Saccharomyces cerevisiae S288C: one gene and its partners. The gene in region 1 interacts genetically with each later gene. Each region holds a gene or a part of one and is shown in the gene's direction. Other genes may lie near its edges. The genes, in order: PUS4, ZRC1, PUS1 and TAN1.

Region 1 (7,806 bases):
TTGCTGTTGGAGAAAAGTGGGTTGCCAGTGACCGATGATTCTCCTTCACGATTTCCATCAAAGAGTGAACGGTTAAAAAGGTATGTCAGAAAGGGCATTCCAGCGGAATGGAGAGGAAATGCATGGTGGCATTTCGCTAGAGGGCAAGAGAAGTTAAACAAGAATAAAGGCGTCTATTCACAACTTTTACGAAAGATGAAGCAGATCAAGAAACAAAACCCTAATGAAAAACAAGTTCAAGACTTGGATATTATTGAACGTGACTTGAATAGAACATTTCCGGACAATATACATTTCCAAAGTAGCTTGCATAACAAAGAGGGACCTCCGATTATAAAATCTTTACGCCGGGTGCTTGTTGCGTTCTCTCTCTACAATCCGAAGATTGGCTATTGTCAATCTATGAACTTTCTTGCAGGCTTGCTATTGTTATTTTTAGACGAGGAAAGGGCCTTTTGGATGCTAGTGATTATTACTTCAAGATACCTACCGGGGGTGCATAATATCAATCTAGAAGGTGTTAACATCGACCAAGGGGTACTGATGCTATGTGTCAAAGAATATATTCCAGAAGTTTGGTCGTACATTAAGCCTTCCATTGACCACCACCAAAAAAATAACAAAACTTTTTCTCCGTCAAATAAAAAAGTTTTATTCAATATGCAAAAGAATGAGTTCTTGTACAGACTTCCGCCCATTACTTTGTGCACGGCGAGCTGGTTCATGAGTTGCTTTGTCGGTGTAGTGCCGATAGAGACCACGCTTAGAATATGGGATTGTCTGTTTTACGAGGAATCACATTTTCTATTCAAAGTTTCGTTGGCTGTCTTAAAATTGAGCGAGCATGACCTTTCGAAAATAAAACCTCGTAACAATTCGTTGAATTATTCTTGGGGCTCTAACTTAAACCAGAGAGGCGGATCAATGGGCCAAGAAGATAGCGATATGGAAATTTTTCAGGTCATACAGACATTCCCTAAGACATTATTGAACCCAAATGAGATCTTTGAGAAAATCATTTTCAAAAGGAGATTTAATTTAAATAGGTTAGATCAGGATGAAATAGACAGGTGTCGAAAATTTGTTGCCGCTCAGCGTCTCAAATTTAAGACATATGGTGAACTTCTTGGAAATTCAACATCAGAGGCAGATTTGCCAATTAATGATAATACAGATAATAAAGGTATCCACATAACAAGTGATGCAGTCAATGAAGCATTATCTTCAGAGGTATATGGGTTTAAAAAGAGCCTAGCTGGAGTTCATTGGAATAATAGCATCAAGGAGAAAGTGAAGCAGATGAGGAAGAAAAAAGACAAGGGTGACTAACTTTTGCTTCCTGTTTTTGTTTTTGCATAAACAAATATGTGATAATTAACTAGCATATAAAACATATACATATACACAGACTTATTTTTTTTTGAGCATCTATATTTCAGAGAATTTTGTTTGGCGTTTTTTCTCTGGTATTGATCTGGCAATTTTCCATGATATCTTCTAACAGCGAGGTGAAAAATTTGTTAAAGATGAGCTAAGCTTGTAAATTGTGTAAGTTAGGGCATCACATAAAAAGAAAACTCAATCAAGGGGAACATGAATGGAATATTTGCTATTGAGAAGCCTAGCGGTATTACATCCAATCAGTTTATGCTAAAGTTGCAACATGCTTTAACTAAAAGTCAAGTATTCTCGAAGGAAATTCAAAGGGCAACAGCGGAAAGAAAGCAGCAATATGAAAAACAGACAGGTAAGAAGGCCAGCAAGAGGAAACTTCGTAAAGTCTCAAAGGTAAAGATGGGACACGGAGGCACTTTGGATCCGTTGGCCTCTGGTGTCCTGGTAATTGGGATTGGAGCGGGCACCAAAAAACTTGCAAATTATCTTTCAGGCACCGTTAAAGTCTATGAAAGTGAAGCCCTGTTTGGTGTTTCCACTACTTCAGGAGATGTAGAAGGTGAGATTTTGTCCCAGAACTCCGTTAAACATTTAAATTTCGATGATTTAAAGACTGTGGAGGAAAAATTTGTTGGACAATTAAAGCAGACGCCGCCAATATACGCAGCTTTGAAGATGGATGGCAAACCCCTGCATGAATATGCTCGAGAAGGAAAGCCTTTACCTAGAGCCATTGAGCCCAGACAAGTTACTATTTATGACTTGAAGGTGTTTTCAGACTCTCTTAAACGTGATCATGACTATCCCTTATTGAGGCCCACTACAGAAGAAGCTGTTGATACCGTGAAAAATTTGAATGCAAACATGCTAAACGATGTTTTATACTTTTCAAAAGAATATACAGAGAAGCACGGCCTTGATTCTGAGGTGGCAAAGGTAGAAGAACCATTTCCGCTGAGTGAACAAGAAGAGCAAGAAATCCAAAAAGAAGGAGATTCTTATAGGGCTCCAAAATTGCACTTCAAAGCTAATGTGTCTTCTGGAACATACATAAGGTCCTTAGTGAGCGACATCGGTAAATCTATGAGGAGCTCATGTTATATGGTGAAATTGATACGTTTGCAACAGCAGGACTGGTCTCTTGAAAAAAATAATGTGTTCCAATTAACGGATTTTACTGAAAGAGACGAGAAGGTGTGGAGTAAGGTACTGGAGAAGGTTCTAGACGAGGGAGCAACTGTTGATGTTATAGAAGAGCTAAAGAAAGCAGAAAAGGAAATACCAGCGGACGTGAAGGAATGTATAGTTTCGAGTGATCAACCTGGTGATGAGGCTACGGCTGAAACAATTGAAACTGCTAACGCCGAAGAACATTCTAATACACTAAAAAGAAAAATCGAACAGGTGTAAAAAAGAGGAAGTTCGAACCATTTTTTTTTTTGGTCTTGTGAAGACTACGCTCTCATTTTATCTATTTTTTTATGTGTATATATGATTTAAAAAAAATCGATGTACTTATGCATTTAAATCGTTCAATTTTTTTGTGATAGTTCGGTCTCTTCTACGTATCGTCCAATGGATGAATTACCATCAAGGATGAGTTACCTATATAATTACAGGTTGAGTAGTCAGTGTCCATATAGAAATTGTAACTTTGATAAAGAAGATCTTCCGTAGTAAGATCATTCGGACAGGAAAATTGAAAATCGCTTGGGCAATTTCGTACTAATGTATAGCACATGTCAATACAAGGTAGAATTTCGTAATAGTCATCCAAAGGTTTAATAAATTTATTCAAATAATCATTACGGTTGTGACTTTTATCTCTGTGGATGTAGTATTGGGAAGACGTCGTGGTGCATCTCGGAATTGATACTGCACATACCCAATCACGATAAGCTTCGGCACAATCGTCACAAGTCATGACCGGAGAATATCTTGCGTCTTTGTCTGCGTCACAGGATATTAACTGTAGAGCTTTGCTAAAATTTGCATATAGTGCCTCTGCAATGTGGTCATATGTCTGCGCCATGAGAGTTTTATTACCCACAGAAAATGAGGATGTAGGAACAGAGTAAGCGACGTCACTGCAGAAGTCCAAACCAAAGATCAAAGAGCAGACATCGGTACTTCTTGTGGTAAAATAAACATGTGAAAATAAAATGCCGCCCACACTTGACAACCCATCACCATTACTGATTTTCTTTGTCAGGTACGCTACATAAGTTGTTGAGGCATTCAGTCCTGTCACGTAAAACATTTCTGTCACGCTACCACCATATTCTGTAATTTTTTTTTGAATCGCCAAGTCAGTACGCTCTAAAGGATTTGTACTATTTGACGTAACTGTTGCATTTGATGTATTTTGGGAAGACACTAAATATGGTCCATTTTTCACAGCACAAAGAGATAAATTATAGTTTTGGTTTAGTTGAACAGAATCTTCGTACGAGTAAACATACAGATCGTACAAGGATGGATCATATATTGAATAATTGTGATAAACTTTGGCGTCTGCGGTGACATTCCCCGTTGATAGTAATGCAGAATTCATATCAGTGTCCAGGACCTCTACCCAAGGCCTTACATCCCACTGAAAAACCAAATCGTTCTCAGAGATACTCAGTCTATATTCCCAATTTTCAGAGGCGTCGGAACTGGACAGAGGTTGCTCCGTAGTGGAATTCACTAGCTCAGCGACCACATAAAGATTTGAATACGTGGAGGTAGCGTTCGAGCTAGAAGACTGCACTGGACTGATGGCTAATGCTTGGATGTAGCCATCCTGAAAAACTGCACTTTGACCTATATTTGGGTTCTCTAAAACCGTTTCATTAAAAGAGTAGTATATTGTTAAATCCACATCTGATCTATTCATGGGCATTTGGCATATATTGCCGCTAATAAACATTAACACTTCATACGTGGGAGCAAACCCATAACCGGAGGCTTCTGCGTCAATGGTAAATACAAAACTGTCTTTTTTGCCCGCTGTTATGTTAGATAAGATCGGGGTCCATTCATAAATGCTATCCGAATTGATGATTGTTTGTTGACCAGTAGCCATAACGTTTTTCTCCCATCTATTTAGGCTGGGAAACTTTAAGGAAATATTCTTATTTGCGAAAGGATTGAAGTCTTGGAATAAACCGTGAATAGAAGTGGTAAATAGGCAGTAAACCACGAATAGTGCTTGCCACACTATCATCCTTAGAAATAATACTGCCGCTGGACAGAAATTGTAGTGTTACGGGTTTTACTGCAATTCAGTATGGCAGTTAAGCCAGTCAAGTATTTGAGAAATAGCCAAAACGGTACGTCAGCCGGTCGAAATTATTAGGGAAATTTTCCGCAACCAATGGCTCAGTTTCAGTAACCTGTTCTTGAGAAAACAACACGTTTACTTGTAGAGTTACTATTGCGGTCCGATGGCAGCGAAACTATATCATTATTATATTATGTATGGCTTCTCAATTTTGATCTTTTTTTTTTTTGGTCAGTACGCGATTTTGAAAGAAATGGAAAGAAGCTATAAAGAGCACAGGATAAATATCTTTTCAAAGCTTGAATAATTTTATAAAAGGTGTAGGAACAGGCCCGACATACAAGAATGTCGACAAGTACAGAGAAGAGGAGCAAAGAAAACCTTCCATGGGTTGAAAAATACAGACCCGAAACGTTGGACGAAGTGTACGGACAAAATGAGGTGATCACCACAGTTCGTAAATTTGTAGATGAAGGTAAATTGCCACATCTTCTATTCTATGGGCCTCCAGGTACCGGTAAAACTTCTACAATTGTTGCTTTGGCACGTGAGATATATGGTAAGAATTACTCGAACATGGTTTTGGAGCTGAATGCATCCGATGACAGAGGTATTGATGTGGTGAGGAATCAAATTAAAGACTTTGCCTCTACAAGACAAATCTTCTCTAAAGGGTTCAAGTTAATTATACTGGATGAAGCAGATGCCATGACCAATGCCGCACAAAATGCGTTGAGAAGAGTTATAGAACGGTACACCAAGAATACGCGGTTCTGTGTATTGGCCAATTATGCGCATAAACTTACACCTGCGTTATTGAGTAGGTGCACGAGATTCAGATTTCAGCCCTTGCCCCAAGAGGCCATTGAGCGTCGGATAGCCAACGTCTTGGTGCATGAGAAGCTGAAGTTGTCTCCTAATGCGGAGAAGGCCTTAATAGAACTTTCTAATGGGGATATGAGACGTGTGTTAAACGTTTTGCAGTCTTGCAAAGCTACTTTAGACAATCCCGACGAGGATGAGATCAGTGACGACGTTATCTATGAATGCTGTGGGGCACCCAGACCAAGTGACTTAAAGGCAGTATTGAAGTCGATACTGGAGGACGATTGGGGTACCGCCCACTACACACTTAATAAGGTACGCAGTGCCAAGGGTCTCGCGTTGATCGACCTAATCGAGGGCATAGTGAAGATACTGGAAGACTACGAACTTCAAAATGAGGAAACAAGAGTGCATTTGCTTACCAAACTGGCCGATATAGAGTACTCGATATCCAAGGGTGGCAACGACCAGATTCAGGGCAGCGCGGTCATTGGCGCCATCAAGGCCAGCTTCGAGAACGAAACTGTTAAAGCCAACGTATAATCGACGCAAATATGTATAGATACAATATGTACAGAACAACTGCATTGTGCAATATAACAACATAACACAACGCCCAGAACGAAATAAAAAAAATAAAAGAAATAGATGAAAGCATTTTCAATTTGCATACCGGAAACCGTAAATCAATTGGCGTCTAGCTAACAACTGAGAATGCGAATCGCCAAATTGTTACAGAAAGTAGCATTCCGTTACGTGATCTGTACTTTAACCTCTTGGACGTAAAGAATGGCAGAACTCTGGCTCTAGTGTTCTGCGAATGCCAGATCGGGAAATATTTCCCAAAAGGGCAACAGCGGCACGAACAAGAATTTCGTGTTAAAAATCGCGTCCGGCGCGAAATTTTTCGCGGAGGCATGCGACGCAAAAGCGACTCGAAATGTCGGGAGCCAAATGAGGCTACAAGGCTGTGGGCAGATTTTGGCGTTATTATGGAGAATAAAAGGAATGGTAGCTTCCATATAGCGATAGGAAAACATATATAAGGTCAATAGGCCTACATGGTAATGGGATTGATAAGCTTGTCCTTAACTCTTGTGTCTTGGAATTACTATTGCGTACATCAGCAATCATCCATTGTCAAGAACAAAAACGATAACAAAAACAATCAATTATACAAATAACAGTAAAGTAATAAAATGTGTGAATACAGCAAGGCTCTTCATATTCTGCTCAAGTCGCCAGTAACGGATGACATAATAAAATTCTTAACAGACACAACATTGAGGGTTGTTCCTTCAAGCAACTACCCCACGCCTCCCGGTTCTCCAGGAGAGAAACACCTCACAAGGCTGCCATCGCTAATGACTTTTATCACTAGATTGGTCAGATACACCAACGTCTACACACCCACTCTGCTCACCGCTGCGTGCTATTTGAACAAATTAAAGCGTATTCTGCCCAGGGACGCTACTGGTCTCCCCTCGACCATCCATCGCATTTTCTTGGCCTGTTTGATACTGAGTGCTAAGTTTCACAATGACTCTTCTCCTTTAAACAAGCACTGGGCTAGGTACACCGATGGTCTCTTTACACTAGAGGATATCAACCTTATGGAAAGGCAGTTGTTACAGCTGTTGAACTGGGACCTCAGGGTGAACACAGAAGATTTGATCCTAGATCTGCAGCCTCTATTAGAGCCCATCAAGCAAGACTTGGCAAGATCCAGCGACCAAAGGAAGAGAATTAACATGATGATGTCCATGAACAGAAGGACTTGTGCTGGCACGAGTCCTATCAGATCAAACAACAGATTCAAACTCTACGAAAAACAGAGAAACGTGTCGATAGCATCCGATTTAAGTTCTGCTACTCTAGTCGACAGTTGTAATGATCTAAGAAGGCTAAAAGATGTAACCAACATAGCGAACAACACAGTCGCTAACACGAATTACGTCAGGACGGTAGAGAAATGGAACGACAATGTCAACAGGCAAAGTTGGGATCTGGAACAGATCATGAGTCAACATGGGTTTTAATGTGGTAAACAAGATGGCCCTTACGGGGCTCTTAGTGGGAGAAAGATTTTTAATAGAGCATAATTAACGGATACATAATATATTATAAATTTAAATAATCAAGGATACCTAATAATAATAACAATCAACTGAACACAACATTAAAAATGGTATTTGTTATTGTATGTTAAGCCCTAAGTGATTGTGCCGTTATAACTTCCATTCGGGTGATACCTGCAATATGAGGAAGAAAAAAGATAAATTTTTTCTTCTTAAAGTATAAAAGGCGGACATATTTGATTT
Region 2 (7,950 bases), on another chromosome or scaffold:
GAACGAAGGCCGAGAAACACCCAGAATAGAAAAATAGATCGCCGACAATCGAGGGTTCTTAATTGATGGGGACATCGTTGGAGCTTATATAAGTTTGCCGCTACTTGGCGAAGATGGTTGAGCTGGGCGGTTCGGTTTGCGCTTTTGTCTTTCTTGTTACTAAGTATGATTGTTTTTTGTTGGGAAACGGCAAAGACGCGCAGCCAAAAAGCCGAACAGTTTAGTGAGTCTCTTCTTTAAGCGCCCAACACGCTCCATCGTGTTGGATAAAGCGTATGCAACAATTATTTCGGCATCGAACCCGCGGAATAAGCATCGGCTCGGGAGATATTTTTGTTTAGTTGGTATTGTTATCGTGTATAAATTTCTGTCCCTGTGCATTGTGATGTAAATGGCCTATTGTATTGTCAGGTCCCTGTCCGTTCCTTGATGGTATATTGGCACCTGAGCAAATCCAACAAAACCGGGCTCGCCCGCGCGGAAGAAAGTGCGATTGACGATTGTAGCTGAGCTGAACAAAAGAGACGGACATGTGAAACGGTGCTGCGGTGGTAGGTGCTGCTTTGTAGAATGGGGGAGAAGATTCGCCTACATACATACATACATACATACATAGACGGGTACTATTGTAGCGCTGCGCAGGAACATAGATACACGAATATACAGAAAGGAATAGTAGTAATATAGCGATGGGCTTATTTTCATTTGATGGTGGCAAAAAGGAATCACAACCCCCTAATACCCGTTCACAGAGAAAGTTGTGCTGGGAGTCCAGGGACGCATTCTTCCAGTGTTTGGACAAGGCAGACATCTTGGACGCAATGGACCCCAAGAATAGCAAGAGTATAAAGTCGCACTGCAAGGTGGAAAATGAAAAATTTGAGGAGAATTGCGCCCATAGCTGGATCAAGTACTTCAAGGAGAAGAGGGTCATCGACTTTAAGAGAGAGCAGACCATCAAGAGAATCGAGCAGGAAGCTAAACAGAGGGAACGAAATCAGTGAGTTTTTAGTGAGTTATTGGCTCATATTAACATATATATTCCCATAAAACATTTGACAGAAAGGTAATAATTAAAGGATAGTCATGTAGATACAAACGAAAATTTTATGTTTTTTTCTTCGTTTTGCGAAAATTCGCATGAGTGTCTCTGTATATATATATAACAAAAAGATGAAAAAAGGGAAGGTAGAAAAAACCGCGCTAAGTTTTGGCAGTGACGGTGACTGTCTTGTACTTGGTCTCGGTGACCGTTGTGGTAATAACGTCTAGCGGATTCAGTTCTCTCTTGCCTTTAGAAGATGAGCCGCTACCAACATCAAAAACTTCGATGTTGGCCTTGGCGCCGTTTCTGGCGGTGACAACACAAAAGTTTCCACCACCAGCCCCGGAAGAACCACCGCCAGAACTTGTCACTTCGTTGACTCCATTAGAACTTGGGTCAATGGAGCATGGTAGGCCTTCACATTGTGATTCGTCATCACAAGTAATTCTAATACCGAATGAAGGCTTAACGTTCTTGAACGGACATGACGATTCCAGGTAGACGGGGTTCCATCCAATCTTTACAAAAGTGTTCTGGTTGTCGTCCATGTTGGAACCAGCTACAAATGGGGCCCAGTTCCCCTGTGGATTTGCACTACTACCCCACTGGCATGCATCCTCTACGCTTACACCGGGAGCATTTACGTAGTAATGCGACGCGCTGGAGGCCCAGTAGTCTGTACCAGGCACAGCCAGCGTTTGCTTTGACCCAGAGCCGACTAAGGTTGGGATCAGCATAGCTTCGTTGCCCGGAAGCACGGTCTGGCAAAATGCAACGTCACCGCTGTTAGCGTTGTTTTTCGCTATTACGGTTCCCTTCCCATCATAACAATAGTCTTTATCACTGTTTGGCTTTTGCAAGTTACCGTTAGAATCACAGTACAAACCTCCATTTTGACATTTAGGATAAGAGTATGTGGTAGCCGAAGGGTCCCATTGCCCCATTAGTTGACCTGGTTTGCAAGCGTAAGGGCACCATGAACCGTAGGAACATTCTTGGTCAGGGCTCATAGCCCATCCTCCATTAGATCCACCTTTTTGTACTGCGACCATCCCATCGTAGTTAGGGAACGCACACGTTCCTCCACGCTTGGCATGCTCATGATGATCTTGATTTGTATTTTCCGTCATTTGAATACTGGGCGATGGCGCGGCGGTCGCCGTGAACACGCCGACACTCAAAATTGACAGTAAGAAATATGGTGTCAGTAATTTGCAAAGTACCATTTTCTCTCGATATTCGATTGGGACGTTCAGTAATATATATGTTTAGTAGAAGAGTCCTATCTTTATCTCACCTGTTTGAGGGAAAGGAAATGATATGAAAGTAGTTGCATTTTTATAGGTGAAAAAAAGAGAACTAGCTAAAAAGAAATTAAATATCGTTCTCTTATTCACCGATACATCGCCCATGAAATCGACTGAGTAGCTAAGTAAGATGATGTAGAAAAAGAAAAAGAAAAAGAAAAAGAATAAGAAAAAGAATAAGAAAAAGAATAAGAAAAAGAATAAGAAATAAGAAATAAGAAGAAATCAAAAAAAAGAAACAATAATGCTTTGCGGACCCGCTGCTACTAAAGCACTTCCACTTGAAAAAAGAAACTACCGCCGTGGCACTGGTAGGTTTACAGATTCAAAAAAAAAAAAAAAAACTGAGATCTTTACTACATAAAAAGAAAGTTATCTCGGTTTGCAGATCGGTGCAGGTCCCATGAGATAAACTTTTGCGTTGAGTTCTGGACTCTTGATGTATCTCCGGACTACAGTATTCATTCTGCTAAGGGGAAGGCGTCTGGCTAAGTTCAGCCAGACTTCCTTTCTACAACCCTTTTTACTAGCTGAGCCTACTTCCCAGGAAGCAAAAAAAATTCTTGCTACTTTCTCTTCATGACGCAGCGTAGTGAGTGCATTTGTCTTTCCCTACCTACGCCGAAAATATATATGTCATATAACGGAAGTCATAAACGGTGACTCCTTTTTGTTTTTGCTGGTCAACCTTAAAGAAACAAAAACTCTAATATGATTTCTTGGCATAGACCCACACACCCTCGGAAAACCTCATTTTTCAAAAGAAAAAAAATGCCGTTTTTGTTTGCGAAAAATAACGTCCCTCCCTCTGTTTTCCTTCTTCAGATGGCCTTGAAGGTGAGGAATGAGGTGGTTGCTGCATCAGCTAAAACTTTTCATTGCAAAGTCATCAGAGCTCAAAGTTTCATAAAAGAATATAACATTCAAGATACTTTAAAGGGCTTGGCGCAGTAATTTTTCCCTATCGATATCCGTCAGGAATACCAGGAAACTAATAGAGTCATGATCACCGGTAAAGAATTGAGAATCATCTCTCTTTTGACCTTAGACACGGTTTTTTTCCTATTGGAAATTACCATAGGTTATATGTCACATTCATTGGCCTTGATTGCCGATTCATTTCACATGTTGAATGATATCATCTCTCTTTTAGTGGCACTATGGGCTGTGGATGTGGCCAAAAACAGGGGTCCAGACGCTAAATACACTTATGGATGGAAAAGAGCAGAAATTTTGGGTGCTTTAATCAATGCTGTTTTTCTTATTGCCCTGTGTTTCTCTATTATGATTGAAGCTTTACAAAGATTGATTGAACCTCAAGAAATTCAAAACCCAAGGTTGGTTTTATACGTTGGTGTAGCAGGGTTAATTTCTAATGTCGTAGGTTTATTTTTGTTCCACGATCATGGCAGCGATAGTCTGCACTCACACTCTCATGGCTCTGTGGAAAGCGGGAATAACGATTTGGACATAGAATCTAATGCGACTCATTCCCACTCTCATGCATCTCTTCCAAACGATAATTTGGCCATCGATGAAGATGCTATTTCGAGTCCTGGGCCCTCAGGGCAAATTGGTGAAGTGTTGCCACAATCAGTAGTAAACAGATTATCAAACGAAAGCCAACCCTTATTGAACCACGATGATCATGACCACAGCCATGAATCGAAGAAACCAGGTCATCGCTCTTTGAATATGCATGGTGTCTTCTTACATGTACTAGGTGATGCTCTGGGTAATATTGGTGTTATTGCAGCTGCTTTGTTTATTTGGAAAACTGAATATTCTTGGAGATATTACTCGGATCCAATCGTTTCTTTAATCATCACCATTATTATTTTCTCTTCCGCTCTGCCCTTATCACGTAGAGCTTCAAGAATTTTACTACAGGCTACTCCTTCTACAATTTCTGCTGATCAGATTCAAAGAGAGATTTTGGCAGTACCTGGCGTGATAGCGGTCCATGACTTCCACGTCTGGAACTTAACTGAATCAATATATATTGCATCTATCCACGTTCAAATAGACTGTGCACCTGATAAATTCATGAGCTCCGCCAAGCTGATAAGAAAAATATTCCATCAACACGGTATTCATTCTGCAACTGTTCAACCAGAATTTGTTTCTGGAGATGTTAATGAGGATATTCGCAGAAGATTTTCTATCATAGCAGGTGGTTCACCATCTTCGTCTCAAGAAGCCTTTGACAGCCATGGAAACACTGAGCATGGTAGAAAAAAGCGTTCACCTACTGCCTATGGTGCTACTACAGCATCATCTAATTGTATTGTAGATGACGCTGTAAACTGCAATACTTCCAATTGCCTGTAATAAAGATATAAAGGGCTGAAGCCGTCGGTGAATTTATCCCATGGTTCTACAGAGAACATAAACTATATACTATTTACATAATTAATTCTTAGACGTATAGGAAGAAGGCAGTTCTTCCTAACTCAAGAACTGCGTTATTCAATGTATGAATACGCTATCTTTTAGCTATAAATCTCCATTAAAAATTTGTATGCAATATGTGCCACAATCCTTCCTCATCTTTTTTTTGAGACTTTTAACCCAAACATAAAATACCCCCATACATCCAGAATAGCGTTTTTATGTCTCAAATAGTTAACTTTTTTCAGCGCGCGCAGAGCAGGAAACAAATTAAGCTCACTTCGGTGTGGTACCAGCCCAGGAATACCGCTTCTCAATAAGCGTTCCCCTCTAAACCCTGCTGCAATTTACTAAGTGCATTGAGGCAGAATCCAGCGCACATTTGATGCTCTTAGCCCAACTCTAAGCCGGGCGCCTGCTTGTTCCCTCCTGTACCAAAATCTGACCGTGGCAAGGTATCGCCAAATTTCATTTTAAACATTGAGGTTGAAGAATTTGGACAATCATAAGCATCTATATAGTTCCTCAAGTCTTTTAAGGAAAAACAGTGCGGAAAAAGTGAGTAAATACCTACTAAACTATGCCACAAAAATGGAAGAGTAATGCCATCTACATCGCAGAACTAGGCTCGGAGCGATCATGAAATGAATGACCACACTGCGTTTAAAACTTAAGCTACTATCACCACTAAAATAGTTCAACTAGGATTACACTCTAAATATGTCAAGGAAAACAGCGAGTTTGTTACGACCGAAAAGAAATGAACGACGTTAATTGTACCATGCTGAATAATATGATCCCATCCATCCTAGAAATACGATTGCAAAAGAAGTGTATAGGTTCTTTTTGGTTCAATGACGAAACACCTGAGTTAAACTTTCATGGATCTTTCAAATGTCTAAAAGGCTATTACCTGACCTTGCGAATGTGATAATAACTCCTCCATAAAAGCTTCCCTTTTCTCATGTGTCACATGGACTTCATACTAACATTCAAATTTGTGATTTTTCATGAAAATCCTTGTTATTTTATCAGTGGCTCACTTTAAAGAATACCAAGTTATTGGCCGTCGTTTGCCAACTGAATCTGTTCCAGAACCAAAGTTGTTCAGAATGAGAATCTTTGCTTCAAATGAAGTTATTGCCAAGTCTCGTTACTGGTATTTCTTGCAAAAGTTGCACAAGGTTAAGAAGGCTTCTGGTGAAATTGTTTCCATCAACCAAATCAACGAAGCTCATCCAACCAAGGTCAAGAACTTCGGTGTCTGGGTTAGATACGACTCCAGATCTGGTACTCACAATATGTACAAGGAAATCAGAGACGTCTCCAGAGTTGCTGCCGTCGAAACCTTATACCAAGACATGGCTGCCAGACACAGAGCTAGATTTAGATCTATTCACATCTTGAAGGTTGCTGAAATTGAAAAGACTGCTGACGTCAAGAGACAATACGTTAAGCAATTTTTGACCAAGGACTTGAAATTCCCATTGCCTCACAGAGTCCAAAAATCCACCAAGACTTTCTCCTACAAGAGACCTTCCACTTTCTACTGAACTGTGCATATTTGAATTTTAAGATATAAAATATTTTTCTGATACTTTAATAGTTTATTTTTATGTATTATCAATTCTGTAGAATTTAATAATTTCAACATTTCATGAACGGCCAGAGGTAAATGGGTAAGGCTTCCTTTCAAAGAATCTATAGATATTAAGGTTTGCATGAAGTAAATAGCTGATAACCTTAGTACAATTAGAACAAGTTGAGACAAATAGGAAGCACCCCAGCATAAGAGCAATATCCTCAGAAAAAAAAAAAATGACTAAGCTAAATAATTAATTTTTTTAAAAAAAACTTATAGTACAATACACGCTAATGTTTGGCAACTGGGGTTTCACCAGTCATTCTGGCGACAAATTCCTTCGCCATATCACCAAAACCAACCATGAAGACAGTTTGCCAGATACCTAAACCAATTCTTGGGGTGACACCACGGTAAAGACCCTTTAGACCATTTGATTGATAGATGTATTTAAATGTCTTACCAACAGTCAAATTTTTTGGTCTGTTTGGATCTTCCTTCTTAGATTGCATTTCAACTCTAATGACTTCGATTGGTTGATTCCAAGCACTTAAACCACCACCTAAAGCACTGGCACCAATTTTCTCGAACGGATTCAACTTGTCGTCTTTATTGGTTTTCCCGGTGATCTTTCTGATACCATCTTCCACTAGTCTGGACAAACCAAAACGAGAACCCCAGTTGGTCATTTGTCTAATAGCAACAGCATTAACACCCTTATTAATACCTCTAATACCTTCCTTTTTATAAATATTCTTGAACACACTCCAAGAAGATTGTGGGACACCACCTGCGGAGGCAGATTTATGTCTTGTAATTTCCACCGTTTTCATACAGGTACAGAACCCCATGGTTAAGTAGGCTTGAGTGACACCACCCGTGACACCACCTAATATACCTGAGGCAAAGTTGTTCAACCCCAAACTTTTGAAACGATACTCAGCCTCAGCTGACACGAACAGCAACACAGCACCTTTAGTGGAGGCTTCGATCCATGCCCATGGAATCAAACCTTGGTAGTAACCCAAGATACCACCTCTTGACCAGACATGCTTAACAGATTCTAAAAATGTGAAGTTTCTGTTTGCAGCCATTGTGGTCTTAACAACCTCCAAAGGTTGCCCTAATGTAGTCACCTCTGACAAGTTTAAACAGGCACCCAATAGGATATTAGAAAACGAGACTGGCTTTTTTTCTATTACGTTTGCTGCAGCAGTATTAGTGGTAGATGGCATAGCTATAATGACGTCGGGCTTTTCCTAGCTTTATTTGTACAAAAGACTTATATAAAAAGATTGTATCAGCGCTGTTTATATCTCAATGAAAGTAGATATATATACCGTAAGCGAGTTGAAACAATGACTTGAGGTGGGCAGCTTCGGACTTTTTGCAAAATTCAAATCCGAATATCTAGAAGATTGTATTGACAGCGTTTTTTAAATGTCCGTAGATTTCTCGAGATATATAAATGTTACAGAAGGTAAGATCCATGCAAGAGGCTAATGCGTTTTTCTTTTTTTTTTTTAGAGTGCGATATCTTGTCATAAGTTTACACAATGGGACAAAGGAAGCTAAAACATGAGTGCAAAAGAAGGGCCCATGTTTGTCGCCCTATGCATTTAGCC
Region 3 (4,294 bases), on another chromosome or scaffold:
CTTTGGATATAGCACAAGGTATAGATCTAGTGAGAGATATTGATATTGATAAATTAATTCAACTTGGTGTGAAACCCTTAGAATCGTCAGCAAAGAGAAGTAAAAACACCGCAGTTAGCAAAGTTCAAAAGAGAAAAGTTTTAGAGCTAAAGAAGAAAAGAAAGATTAAACGCCTCGAAAAATTTTTACAAGGTCGCGACACCTCCAAATTACCTGATCCTGAAAGGTGGCTGCCATTAAGAGACAGGTCTACTTATAGGCCAAAGAAAAAACAACAAGGTGCAAAACAAACTCAAGGTGGTGCTATGAACAAAAAATCAGAACAGGCCCTTGACATATCAAAGAAAGGGAAGCCCACTGTTAATAAAAAGCCTAAGAACAAGAAGAAGGGCCGTAAATAGAGCGTATAAAGATTTTTGTCATTAGTAATCCTCAAATGTTGTCAAGTTATGTAATATTGTATATGAAATGGAACTCGACTAATTCAAAAGAAAGGTCATCGAGGGGTTAGGCTCCCCATTTTATCGAACAACTCTTTCCTTTTAAGCGCTAATTATATGATTCTTTATTATACAGAAAAAAATACATTGTGAGAGATAACGCAAGCTGTAAGTGAAATGTACACGGGAATTCATCATCAGTCCTTCCCACTAAGTAAACAAGGTGTCTTCATCTCTCAAATACTCACCAATATCTGCTTGTCTGAAAGCAACTATACCAGTGGGTTGCATGTTTCTTGACTCAGAAGTACTTTTCGCACTGACACCGAACCCTAATGGCACATCATTCATTGCAAACACAATAACACCGGCGTGTTCTGGTATATCATCAGACATTTTACCCACATGTGCCTTTAACACATGATTACCGTATAAGAATGGCATCTCCCCATTAGGTTTAATCCATATCTTATATTTGGCATGCTTAGCCAATACTGTCAAAGAAGTAATATGTAACCTGAATTTTCCAGTTTTCGTGAATTTACCTAAACAAATACCCAGAGACATCAAGTTAGGTCTTGCTACACTAGTAGCCAATTTTGCAACATGATCGGGTACGTAATATACTCTATCCTTTTGTAATCTGAAGACATGAGGAAGTTCTTTATTATCCACTAAAAAAGAAATATTTCTACCAATATAGCCGGCGAGTTTTTCGAAAACAACCTTGGTCTCTTCTTCTGTTAGCTGTCTCATTATTGCACCTAACTATAGTTTCCCTCAATGGTTCTACTACTCGGAAATCTAGAATACGATCCAATCACTAAACCGTCAATTACCTCAATAATACATTGCTTACTTTAGTTCTAAGCTCATCGCATATTTCAAAAATTTTCATTACCGTACAGAGATATATTATTTTGATGCGGGTAACTATTAGCCGCTGAAATAATATTTTCTTTTTTTTTTTTTCTTTTGGCTTTGAAATTTTTCACTTTTAGTCATCGCTATAGTTCGAGAAATTTGAAATACAAGAAGTACTAAAAAAATAATAAAGGACAATAAAGTGCTAGTAAATAACAATTATAAGTGATATCAAGGATGTCTGAAGAGAATTTGAGGCCTGCCTATGACGATCAAGTTAATGAGGATGTCTACAAGAGAGGCGCTCAGAGCAAATTGACCAAAGCTCGTAAGGCAGACTTCGACGATGAAAAGGACAAAAAAAAGGATAATGACAAACACATAGATAAAAGACCAAAAAGCGGTCCTCGTTTGGATGAAAATGGCAATCCACTTCCCAAGGAGCCTCGTCTCCCAAAGAGAAAGGTGGCTGTTATGGTTGGTTACTGTGGTACTGGCTACCATGGTATGCAATATAATCCACCAAATCCAACCATCGAGTCTGCCCTATTCAAAGCATTTGTTGAAGCAGGTGCTATTTCCAAGGACAACTCCAACGATTTGAAAAAGAATGGATTCATGAGAGCTGCAAGAACTGATAAGGGTGTCCATGCTGGAGGTAATTTAATATCATTGAAAATGATTATTGAAGATCCTGATATCAAGCAGAAGATCAACGAAAAGTTACCGGAAGGGATAAGGGTATGGGATATCGAGCGTGTGAACAAGGCGTTTGATTGTAGAAAAATGTGCAGTTCACGTTGGTACGAATACTTATTACCAACTTATTCACTCATTGGCCCCAAACCTGGTTCTATACTTTATAGAGACATCGAAGAAAGTAAAACAGAATTACCTGGTGTATTAGATGAAGATTTGGAATCCAAAGAATTTTGGGAAGAGTTTAAAAAAGATGCGAATGAAAAATTTTCAACAGAAGAAATCGAAGCTATATTAGCATATGTTCCGCCCGCAAGAGATGAATTTGATATAAATGAAGAACTATACCAGAAGGTAAAAAAGTACAAGCAATTAGAAAATGCTCACCGTAGAAGATATCGTATATCCGCGGCAAAACTGGCCAAATTCCGTGCTTCTACAAGTCAATACCTTGGCGCTCATAACTTCCATAATTTTACATTAGGCAAGGACTTCAAAGAACCAAGTGCCATTCGATTTATGAAAGATATAAAAGTATCTGATCCATTTGTTATTGGCGATGCCCAAACAGAATGGATTTCCATCAAGATTCACGGCCAGTCTTTCATGCTACATCAAATTCGTAAGATGGTATCAATGGCAACCTTAATTACCCGTTGTGGTTGCCCCGTCGAACGCATTAGTCAGGCTTACGGACAGCAGAAGATTAATATTCCGAAGGCACCTGCATTAGGATTATTGTTAGAAGCTCCAGTATTTGAAGGTTATAATAAAAGACTAGAACAGTTTGGTTACAAGGCGATCGATTTTTCCAAATATCAAGACGAAGTGGATAAGTTCAAAATGAAGCATATCTACGATAAGATCTACAAGGAAGAGGTGGACGAAAATGTTTTTAATGCGTTCTTTAGTTATATTGATAGTTTCAACAAGGTTACTGGAGCACAGGGAGAAGAAACTGCCGATAAATCGGGACCTGCTGTGCAAAAGAGTATCTTCGAATTCTTGACAGCTAAGGGTATCCCAGGTCTTACTGATGCGCCCGAGAGCAATAAGAAGATTAAGCAAAGAAAAAGAATGGAAGAGGAGGAAGCTGCTAGTAAAAAGGCTGAAATATCCAGCACCACTCAGAGCAACGAACCTGAAGTACAACCGGAAGCGGCAGCTAATTAGGTTGCCCTTTCCTTCTTTCTTACCAACTTTAATTTCTAAGGCATTGACATTGAAATTGACATTGTCCTCTAATGTTTATAGAGCACCATTATTTGTTTTCGTTTTATATATTATTATATAATGGCACAGAATAATTTATAATTCTTTTTTTTTAAGTCATTGAACAGTCGCACTAACCAAAAGATTAAACACCACCAGAGAGTAGTTTTTCCAGCCTGGCAATCTCTTCTAAAGAAGTAGCTTCTGCTAACTGCTTTTTCAATTCATTTCTTCTCTCTACTGTCATCTTACTCACCACCAAATTCATGATCTCCATCGTTTTATCTCTGGATCCATTATCTCTTATTGCAGTATTTACTGGGCCCAACGTATCGCCGTCCGCCTGCCTTGGAAAGCTCATTGCGCTCTTTCTTTCCTCAGCTGTTACGTTTTGAAAGTCTAAAGTCTCTAAATGCGGTACTAATCGAAGTACATGTTCTCTATAATTGGCTAAATGACATACTTGATTCCCTATTAAAGTTAGATTCTTCAACGTCCTGGGCGCTCTACGCAACCTTTGAAGATCTTCAAACCTTCTTATGCTGTTATTCGATAATGTAAGGTTCTGTACATTCATAGGCAATAGGCGACCGTCTACTTCAACGATATTGTTTCGGCCCAACAGTAATGTATGTATATCGTCTCTTCTTGATAGATCTGGAATCATGATAAGGTCATTGTTTGTCAAATCCAAGATGTGCGTAGGTTTGGTCAAATGCTTTAAGCTGGATGGCATGGATTCTGAATCCGTTTCTAGCTGCAGGTCTCTTAAAATAACACATTTATCCACGTTATACTTGCCATTAAAATGATCAACATAATATTGCGGAGCATCAATAACTATGCTAGGGGTGAACTTCATTATTGCTTATAAAAACTGATATTTTCCAAGTCCTGTAGTTTCACTTCGACCTGTTGAAGGCTTGTTGGATGCAGAGTATGCGATTGGCCTAATATAAGTAAATGTCATCTATGATAAGAAAAAGACTAATAGGGCTTTTTCCTATAATTAACTAGGGTCTGTCGAAAATCAACTTTGAAAACCAGGAACAAAAAAAAGATAGATAAGGTTTATTTCA
Region 4 (7,706 bases), on another chromosome or scaffold:
CAGGATTACTTTTTGAAAATTCTCGGCTTCTTATTATATGATATTAATTTGAATAAAGCTACAGAATTTATCCTCGTTGATAATAACTATAATTCTACAAATGAATTTTGGGATGGACTCATGGACAGGTTGTCACCATATTTGAGTTATTTCATAGATGAGAAGCTGAAAACAGAAGAAGACATGATTAAATTGAAAGATTTTCTTTGTATTTATGTTGCCATTTTAGAAAATTTCAAACTGAACATCGAACCTTTATATAAAATTTTGGTTTCAATTTTCGAGAAATTCTGCTCTGTTTCCTTGAGAGCTTTTGACGATGAATTTCAAATCTTGTTAAACGATGATGATTTTATGCCTTTATCCATTAATGACAAGACATTATATGAGAAAGTTTTGAAGATTTGCTGGATGAAGGAGGGCGAACACCTTTCCCTGCCAGATCCAACCAACGGAGAGCCATTTGCTGTGACTTTGCCTTTTTCTCCATTATACCCAATGACGTGTACACTTGCTAAGAAAACATATTCTAAAATAACCGCATTTCTTTCCATATTTTATCGTCATGAGCTACACACTTTGAATAATATTTTGGTCAAAACAATGGACGATATATTTAATGATATCGTCAATAAAAAAATTCGTTCTAAACTTGAAAGTACGTCGAGAGAAGAAATTGCACAAATCTTAGTCAATTTAGATTATTTTATCATAGCAGCAAAAGAATTTAGTAACTTCATGACAAGAGAGAATATTTTACAAAACCCGGATATGGAAATACGGTTATCCTCGATAAAATATCTTGCGGAAAGCAGAAAATTGGCAGAAACAAAGTTAATTGAATTAATCGATTCTAAGATATCAGATATTCTTGAAACTATTGAAATTGACTGGCAAATAACGGAGGTAAGGCAAGACCCGGATATCTCCATCATTGATCTGGCACAATTTTTAGAAATGATGTTTGCCAGCACGCTACAAAATTTACCATACAGCGTCCAAACATTATTGATTTTCCGTGAATTTGACTCCTTGACGAGACAATTCATGGGTCTATTATTGCATGACACACCAAGTACAATTACACATGAAAGCATAATGAATTTTGAAGTTGATGTCAATTATTTAGAGAGCATTATTCCCAGAATTTTCCCCTCTACACCAGGTACTATAGATAGTAATGGATACCAGTCGCCAATGACCCCTTCGACGCCTACATTTCCAAATGCCAACGGTGTTGACGCACCAACATTATTTGAAAATAATATCAAATCGCTAGAAGCTACATTTATGGAGTTGAAGCAGTGTATAGAGTTATTAAAGACTCAGGGAAAAGATTATAATGAACCAGAAATAAGATTAAGAAAATATTCAAGAATTAGACAGGAAGATGCGGCTCTTTTGTTGAGCAAGATTCAGCACTTCGTCTCATCTGTAGAAGGAGCTAACGGCGATGACACTAGCGTAATGGATAGTAGCAGCATATTCAACTCTGAATCAGCGAGTGTCATTGACTCTAATACGAGTAGGATAGCCAAATTTTTTAATAGACGTTAAAAAATTAGATATTATCTCAGTATAATCATTTGTACGTTCATAAGAAAGAATTTCGGACAGTCTTGAGTTTTTTGGTTTTAGCATCGAAAAAGTTCACTTCAAATAAATTTTTTTTTTATCATTGAATAACTCTTTATTTTTCACGTCAACCAAATACATCTCAAAAGTCTACTATATATTGAAAAGTATCATACAATTAGTGTAAATAAGTATCTTAATTATGGGTGAAAAACGTAACCGTAATGGTAAGGATGCAAATTCCCAAAACAGGAAGAAAGTATGTCTGTCTGCACACGAATTAGAGTTCTTTAAGTACTAACGATCAAAAGTAATAGTTTAAAGTATCTTCCGGATTCTTAGACCCTGGTACGTCTGGAATATATGCCACATGTTCTAGAAGACATGAACGTCAAGCAGCCCAAGAGTTGCAGCTTTTATTCGAAGAAAAATTTCAAGAACTCTATGGGGATATCAAAGAAGGAGAAGATGAAAGTGAAAATGACGAAAAGAAAGATCTATCAATTGAAGACCAGATAAAAAAGGAATTACAAGAATTGAAAGGTGAAGAAACAGGCAAAGATTTATCTTCAGGGGAGACAAAGAAGAAAGACCCCTTAGCCTTCATCGACTTGAACTGTGAGTGCGTGACATTTTGTAAAACAAGAAAGCCAATTGTTCCCGAAGAATTTGTGCTAAGTATCATGAAAGACTTAGCGGATCCCAAAAATATGGTTAAACGTACTAGATATGTTCAGAAATTAACACCTATTACGTACTCTTGTAATGCAAAAATGGAGCAATTAATCAAGTTGGCCAATTTGGTTATTGGGCCACACTTTCATGACCCTTCGAATGTTAAAAAAAATTATAAATTTGCTGTAGAAGTGACAAGAAGAAATTTCAATACGATTGAAAGAATGGACATCATTAATCAAGTTGTGAAGCTGGTCAATAAAGAGGGTTCTGAGTTTAATCATACTGTGGACTTGAAGAACTATGATAAATTGATTCTAGTGGAATGTTTTAAGAGCAATATCGGAATGTGTGTAGTCGATGGGGATTATAAAACCAAATATCGTAAATACAACGTTCAACAGCTTTATGAATCGAAATTCCGAAAGGATGAAGATAAGAGTGTAAAACAATAATCATATATGAAACAGAATAGATATTTTATATAAGTATATACGCTCTCAATCGGAAAACCATTGTAATCCATTATTATAATGAGCAATTCGTTCCCAGGGTAGCCAATCACCCTTAGCGTTAGGAATGAGACCCATTGAATTTAGTTTCCTGTATCCAATGTACATTAAGACGCCTTGGAATACGATATACATGAACATAGCAGTTTGCACTTGACTTTGTGTTGCTTTATTACCCAACACTGGTTTGAATGCACTCCTTGTTGAAAATATTGCTTTAATGGGTCCAGAGAGTAGCATGAGGGCAGTCATTATAGGAATGATTTGTAAGGATGTACCGGACATATACGACATAAAAATATTCATCGGAATAGATTTGGCTGGTTGTAACGCAATTTGCCATGCCTTCTGTACTTGTAATACTGTTATTTGGTTTTTTTGTGCCAAAGAAGTAGTTTGAGATGTAGCATCTTGTTGTTTTCTTGTAACATTTCCTTTAGAGGAATTACCTTCAAATCCTGGTGGTGAAGGTAATGTGTTTGAGTTCTGAATGTTGTATTTTTCGATATACTTGGTGTCCAATAGGTGTTTAGCCCATTCGTAAGGCTCCTGTTCACTCATTTCTGTTGCTTATATCGTTTGGCTTTATTTTAACCTTAACTGATATTATGTTCAACTTTTTTTCATTCTATTTATATAGAAAAGAATACGCTTTTTTTATTATTTATGAAAGGAACATGAAAAAACTACGAATGTACAAAAGCAGAGATTGCTAGAGAATACATTGGTCAAGAATTTTCGCATATGGAACGCATTGCTCTTTTAGATGGGCTGTTAAATAATCGTAATTTAGGTTAGTTATTGCCCTTTGCGTCTTCCGTGGAACAATGTTGGTCCAATAAATTATAAAGAAAAGAAATTGGATAGCACAAATAAAAGAGCAAGCGATAATGCAAAACATTAAAAGTCTGTTTTCCATTAGTTTGTAATATTCTGAGGTCATCAATAAAAACCATTTTTTCGTTCTTGTAAAATTGTATCTCTCATCTGTATTGGATTTTTCGACCATTTGAAAATCATCCTTGCTTTTTCCTTTATATTCAGTCGAGGAATCATTTGCTGTATTAGGCTCTGGTTGAGAAACCTCTTCAAGGCCCTTTTTTGGGTAGGCTTTCAATAAATGTAGAACATTGCCGGATAGTGTAATAATTCCCATTATTATGGTTTTGTTTTGCCTGGTTTGGGCCTGACTTTAGTTATATGATTATTTTTGTATAGATAGCTATAAGTTATTGAAAGTAAGCTAGACAATAATTTTTGGTGAATAGTTGGTGAACATTCCTGAACTACAAAGGACTATTGTTATATTTAGTTTACTTCAATTGGCCCCCAATAGGCTTCGTAATTTTTACATGTCACAAAATTAAATAAGGCAAAACGAGAAACAAAATATTAAAAATGTAGGAAAAAAAAAGTCAAAATTGGTTTGACGACTTAACCTAATCAATTTAAGTCGGAATGATGATCAACAATAACATCTTTAATTTTATCATGAATATCTAATTCGGTTAATTGACCCAATTCATCTATGAGCTCGGCAACTTTATCATGCAACTTAACATCCTCCTCGTGAACAATTTCATTCTCATCCATTGTGGATGGATGAGCTGGTTTACTCATATCAGCTTTTTCCAAAAAGTCCTGGTTAGTATTTTCATCGCTTTCGGCACAGAACTGGCCTCCACCAAGAATTATTGAACACATTGTCCTTGTTTCGTTCAAGATGTCACTAGAATATGACATCCAAACTTCATCTTGTAAGAAGGCATATATATCTGGAGCAATTAGATCGGTCTTATAAATTTTGGAATACTTCGCAATTTCTTCGGCAATTAATACTAATTGACCCATATAACCTAAATTTGTTTTCTCTTTTTCGTAAAATTCAAACGAATCCTTGTGGCCTTGTAAAATGAAATCAGAGATAATATGGAAGTCTTTAACAGGTAACTTTTGGTTGCTGCCGTACAAAGGTTTTGGGATAAATCTTGTAGACTTTTTGAAATCAAACAAAGAATAGACCAAAAATGAGTTATAAGAAAAATCCATTCGACCATTGAATATCTGCTGAATAATATCAAATACAATGTTGTGCCAAAAGTTATTCCAAGGATATCTTAAGAATAATTGTAGAAACTTTGGAAAAAACCCAAGGTCATGAAGTTTAATTTTGAATAAATCTCCAATGGTAGGGTTTTTACGTATTTTCAAATTTTGCGTTTCACTGACGTAAGGAATTTCAAAACTCATATCATCATCATCATCAATATTGTCATCAGATGTATCAAAAGTAGAATACAATTCATTATCATGAAACTTTTTTTTAATATTTTTTTTTTGTTTTTGGTTGTCATTACTGTCATTACTATCATTATTATTACATTTATCTTCTAATGTATTGGAAGTAATAGTATTATCATTTATATTTAAATTTTTCATGGCTTTCTCTAGTGAGTTTTGATCAAGAGTGTCCCTGCATTTATCTCTGGTACGTGCTATTTTTTCGCCTCTTTTTGAATTCATCAATCCCATATTTGAACAGTGTAACATTTCCGATATCAATTCTGTAATCTTGACTCTTTCAAAGCCCAAAGGCCTGAATGATTCATGCAATTGGTTTTCTAGTAGGTGATGCTTAACAGATGGAAGAGCTTTTGAAGCAGTGTCATGATCATCGTCATCATCATTTTCAAGTTTAATTAGTAATGCATAAAAATCTTCCATATGCATAGTGAGCTCATATAACAAATGGCCCAAATAGACTGGATCTCTTTGAGAAGGCGGATTGTCTACTATGGTGGTACTTAACAAATCTACTTCGTCATAGTCGGAATTATTCTTCCTGATCAACTCAATTATAATAGATACGGCAACTCCCATTGCATGGCCTCTTTGAAATAAGATTATATTAATAAGTTGGTCGACATATTGCGGAGAGGCAAGCTGTCTTGTCAATCGGTTAGGTCCGATCCACAAAGTATCCAGTTTAAAATTGGTGGAAATGCTGATCAGTGCTTTTAGAAGCTCTCCGCTACTGTTTTGAATACCAGGTGAGTATTTGCTATTTTCCAAGAGATTCAAACACTTAGGTATCAGATCCTGGTGATACAAGAAGTCAATAATGTTCGTAGGTGATTCAACTTGATCAGTCAGCATGATTTTAATGAGAAATTCAACCAAGGGTGAGACTTCAATATGATATAAGAACTTGTCCACAATGTTCGGTTGCGATTTGAAAAATTCCAAATAGCTAGATGTCTGTTCAAACAGAAGAGTTTCGTTAATCTTAAGGAAAACAGCCAAGATAGGACAATTTTCTGCCTCAATATTTTCAAACTGGAAAACCTCGAACAGAGAGGACAAAAATGGGGTATTTTGCACGAGTGCCTCCACTATGGGCGCACTTTTCGAACAAAAAATACTGGAAATAATGTTGACATACAGCATTGGGTCTTCATCGTCCTGATCTTCATATTCACCTGTTTGATGGAATGAATTCTCTAAAAGAAATGGGGTTCTATAACCAGTGCGGTCTATGTCCTTCAGGTAAGCCATCAACATGTCCACTAGGTAGTCCATGTGGCGGACCTGCTGGGAACGGTCGTCATAGAAATATCCCAAGCAAATGAAGTCGACGAGTCTGTCGTTGGCTGCTCCATTCAGTTCATCCAGCAAAGCTGTTTCCAACAAGATCCTATCAATAAATGACTGGTTAAGGTCACTCCTATCCCGAGACTCGGTACCAAATTCGGACTCTGACTCCATAGAAGGCTCATTCTTCTTGTCGTCAGTTGAAGAGGTCTCATTTCCCTCCAAACTACGAAAAATTAGATAGTACTCTTCAAGTATCGAATCAATTCCGGAATGACTCAGCGTCTCTCCAAAGGGCCATAGTGACATATTTTTATTTTATTTTAGCTTTATCGAAAAGCAAGAGAGCAGTAAACTGGACGGTATAGAAGAAAAGAGAACTTAATAACAAAAGACCAGATTGTCTATAACTTTATCTCACACCAAATACCAGGTTGTCCTTTTCCCGCTGGGTGAAGCAACCGTTTCACTTATTCGCACAATCCAATTAGTAGAACACAACACAACACAACACAACACAACACAGCACAACACGCTTACCAAATTATATTTACTACGGCAACCAAAAACCGACAGAATAAAAAACAGCCATCATACGTGGATGAACTCTTGGTTTATTGTCTGTTATTATCCTCGAGAGTTCTTATTTAGGGGATTTAGGGCTGGCATCAATACCCTAACTAAACCCTGAACTGCCCAAGGAACAATTTTCAAAAGTAAGAAATGTCCTATACGTTTCTATGTATAACCCTAAGATAGTCAGGTTTCGGAAATAAGGCGGATTTCTACGTACATGATGATAATCATGTATCAAAGAAAGGATCAACTTGAAGAACAGCCTTAAAGTAAGCGTAATGGGCATTCTGTTTCAACCACCATTTCTGAAGTACTTTATATCTTGGATGCACAAAAGCTGTTACATCTAAACAAGAACGCAGCGTAACGAAATGGGAAAGCTGATAAAGTTAATCACAACTCTGACGGTGTTGGTATCGTTGCTTCAGTACTGTTGCGAATTCAATAGTGGGAGCATATCGTGTGAACGCACGCAAACGCTTTGCCATTATACCAATCCAAGAGTCTGGAACACCTACTTTTCAAGAAATTGTGAATTATACAAAAATAAAGTTAGTCCCGGTTTCGATATAGTGGCGCGTAAATATGACACGGCTGTCAAACCTGTCATCGATGACGCTACAGTAAAAGTGAACAAGGTCGCTATACAGCCTGCATTCAAGGTCATCCATTCACAATGTAAGAAATGGAACTGTGGAAAGTATTACCAATTGGTCCGCTCCCCAATGGTCAAGACTAGACGATTTTTCTTCGCAAAATACAATGCTTTTGTGAAAC

Evidence for each region.
Region 2: mutations in PUS4 (region 1) and ZRC1 together harm fitness more than expected from each alone (negative genetic interaction), as found in Saccharomyces cerevisiae (2 studies listed by BioGRID).
Region 3: mutations in PUS4 (region 1) and PUS1 together harm fitness more than expected from each alone (negative genetic interaction), as found in Saccharomyces cerevisiae (2 studies listed by BioGRID).
Region 4: mutations in PUS4 (region 1) and TAN1 together harm fitness more than expected from each alone (negative genetic interaction), as found in Saccharomyces cerevisiae (3 studies listed by BioGRID).

The regions. Positions count from the first base shown.
Region 1 is NC_001146.8:81,213-89,018, forward strand, and holds PUS4 (pseudouridine synthase PUS4), read left to right. Parts: upstream 1-1,593; coding exon 1,594-2,805; downstream 2,806-7,806. Other genes in the region: Rab GTPase-activating protein MSB3, read left to right, coding at 1-1,329; MID1 (Mid1p), read right to left, coding at 2,957-4,603; RFC3 (replication factor C subunit 3), read left to right, coding at 5,006-6,028; PCL1 (Pcl1p), read left to right, coding at 6,685-7,524. UniProt on the Saccharomyces cerevisiae protein: Responsible for synthesis of pseudouridine from uracil-55 in the psi GC loop of transfer RNAs. Also catalyzes pseudouridylation of mRNAs with the consensus sequence 5'-GGUUCRA-3'.
Region 2 is NC_001145.3:751,571-759,520, reverse strand, and holds ZRC1 (Zn(2+) transporter ZRC1), read left to right. Parts: upstream 1-3,354; coding exon 3,355-4,683; downstream 4,684-7,950. Other genes in the region: COA6 (Coa6p), read left to right, coding at 690-1,004; YMR244W (uncharacterized protein), read right to left, coding at 1,204-2,271; YMR242W-A (uncharacterized protein), read right to left, coding at 5,135-5,224; 60S ribosomal protein eL20 RPL20A, read left to right, coding at 5,301-5,301, 5,779-6,296; YHM2 (Yhm2p), read right to left, coding at 6,616-7,560. UniProt on the Saccharomyces cerevisiae protein: Vacuolar transporter that regulates zinc homeostasis by mediating zinc transport and storage into the vacuole.
Region 3 is NC_001148.4:150,397-154,690, reverse strand, and holds PUS1 (pseudouridine synthase PUS1), read left to right. Parts: upstream 1-1,541; coding exon 1,542-3,176; downstream 3,177-4,294. Other genes in the region: signal recognition particle subunit SRP72, read left to right, coding at 1-401; ribosome biosynthesis protein NIP7, read right to left, coding at 651-1,196; U2 snRNP complex subunit LEA1, read right to left, coding at 3,361-4,077. UniProt on the Saccharomyces cerevisiae protein: Formation of pseudouridine at positions 27 and 28 in the anticodon stem and loop of transfer RNAs; at positions 34 and 36 of intron-containing precursor tRNA(Ile) and at position 35 in the intron-containing tRNA(Tyr).
Region 4 is NC_001139.9:60,298-68,003, forward strand, and holds TAN1 (putative tRNA acetyltransferase), read left to right. Parts: upstream 1-1,777; coding exon 1,778-1,834; intron 1,835-1,892; coding exon 1,893-2,705; downstream 2,706-7,706. Other genes in the region: Rab GTPase-binding exocyst subunit SEC15, read left to right, coding at 1-1,557; chaperone EMC4, read right to left, coding at 2,751-3,323; YGL230C (uncharacterized protein), read right to left, coding at 3,475-3,918; SAP4 (Sap4p), read right to left, coding at 4,206-6,662; SHE10 (She10p), read left to right, coding at 7,301-7,706. UniProt on the Saccharomyces cerevisiae protein: Probable tRNA acetyltransferase required for the formation of the modified nucleoside N(4)-acetylcytidine in serine and leucine tRNAs. Binds RNA.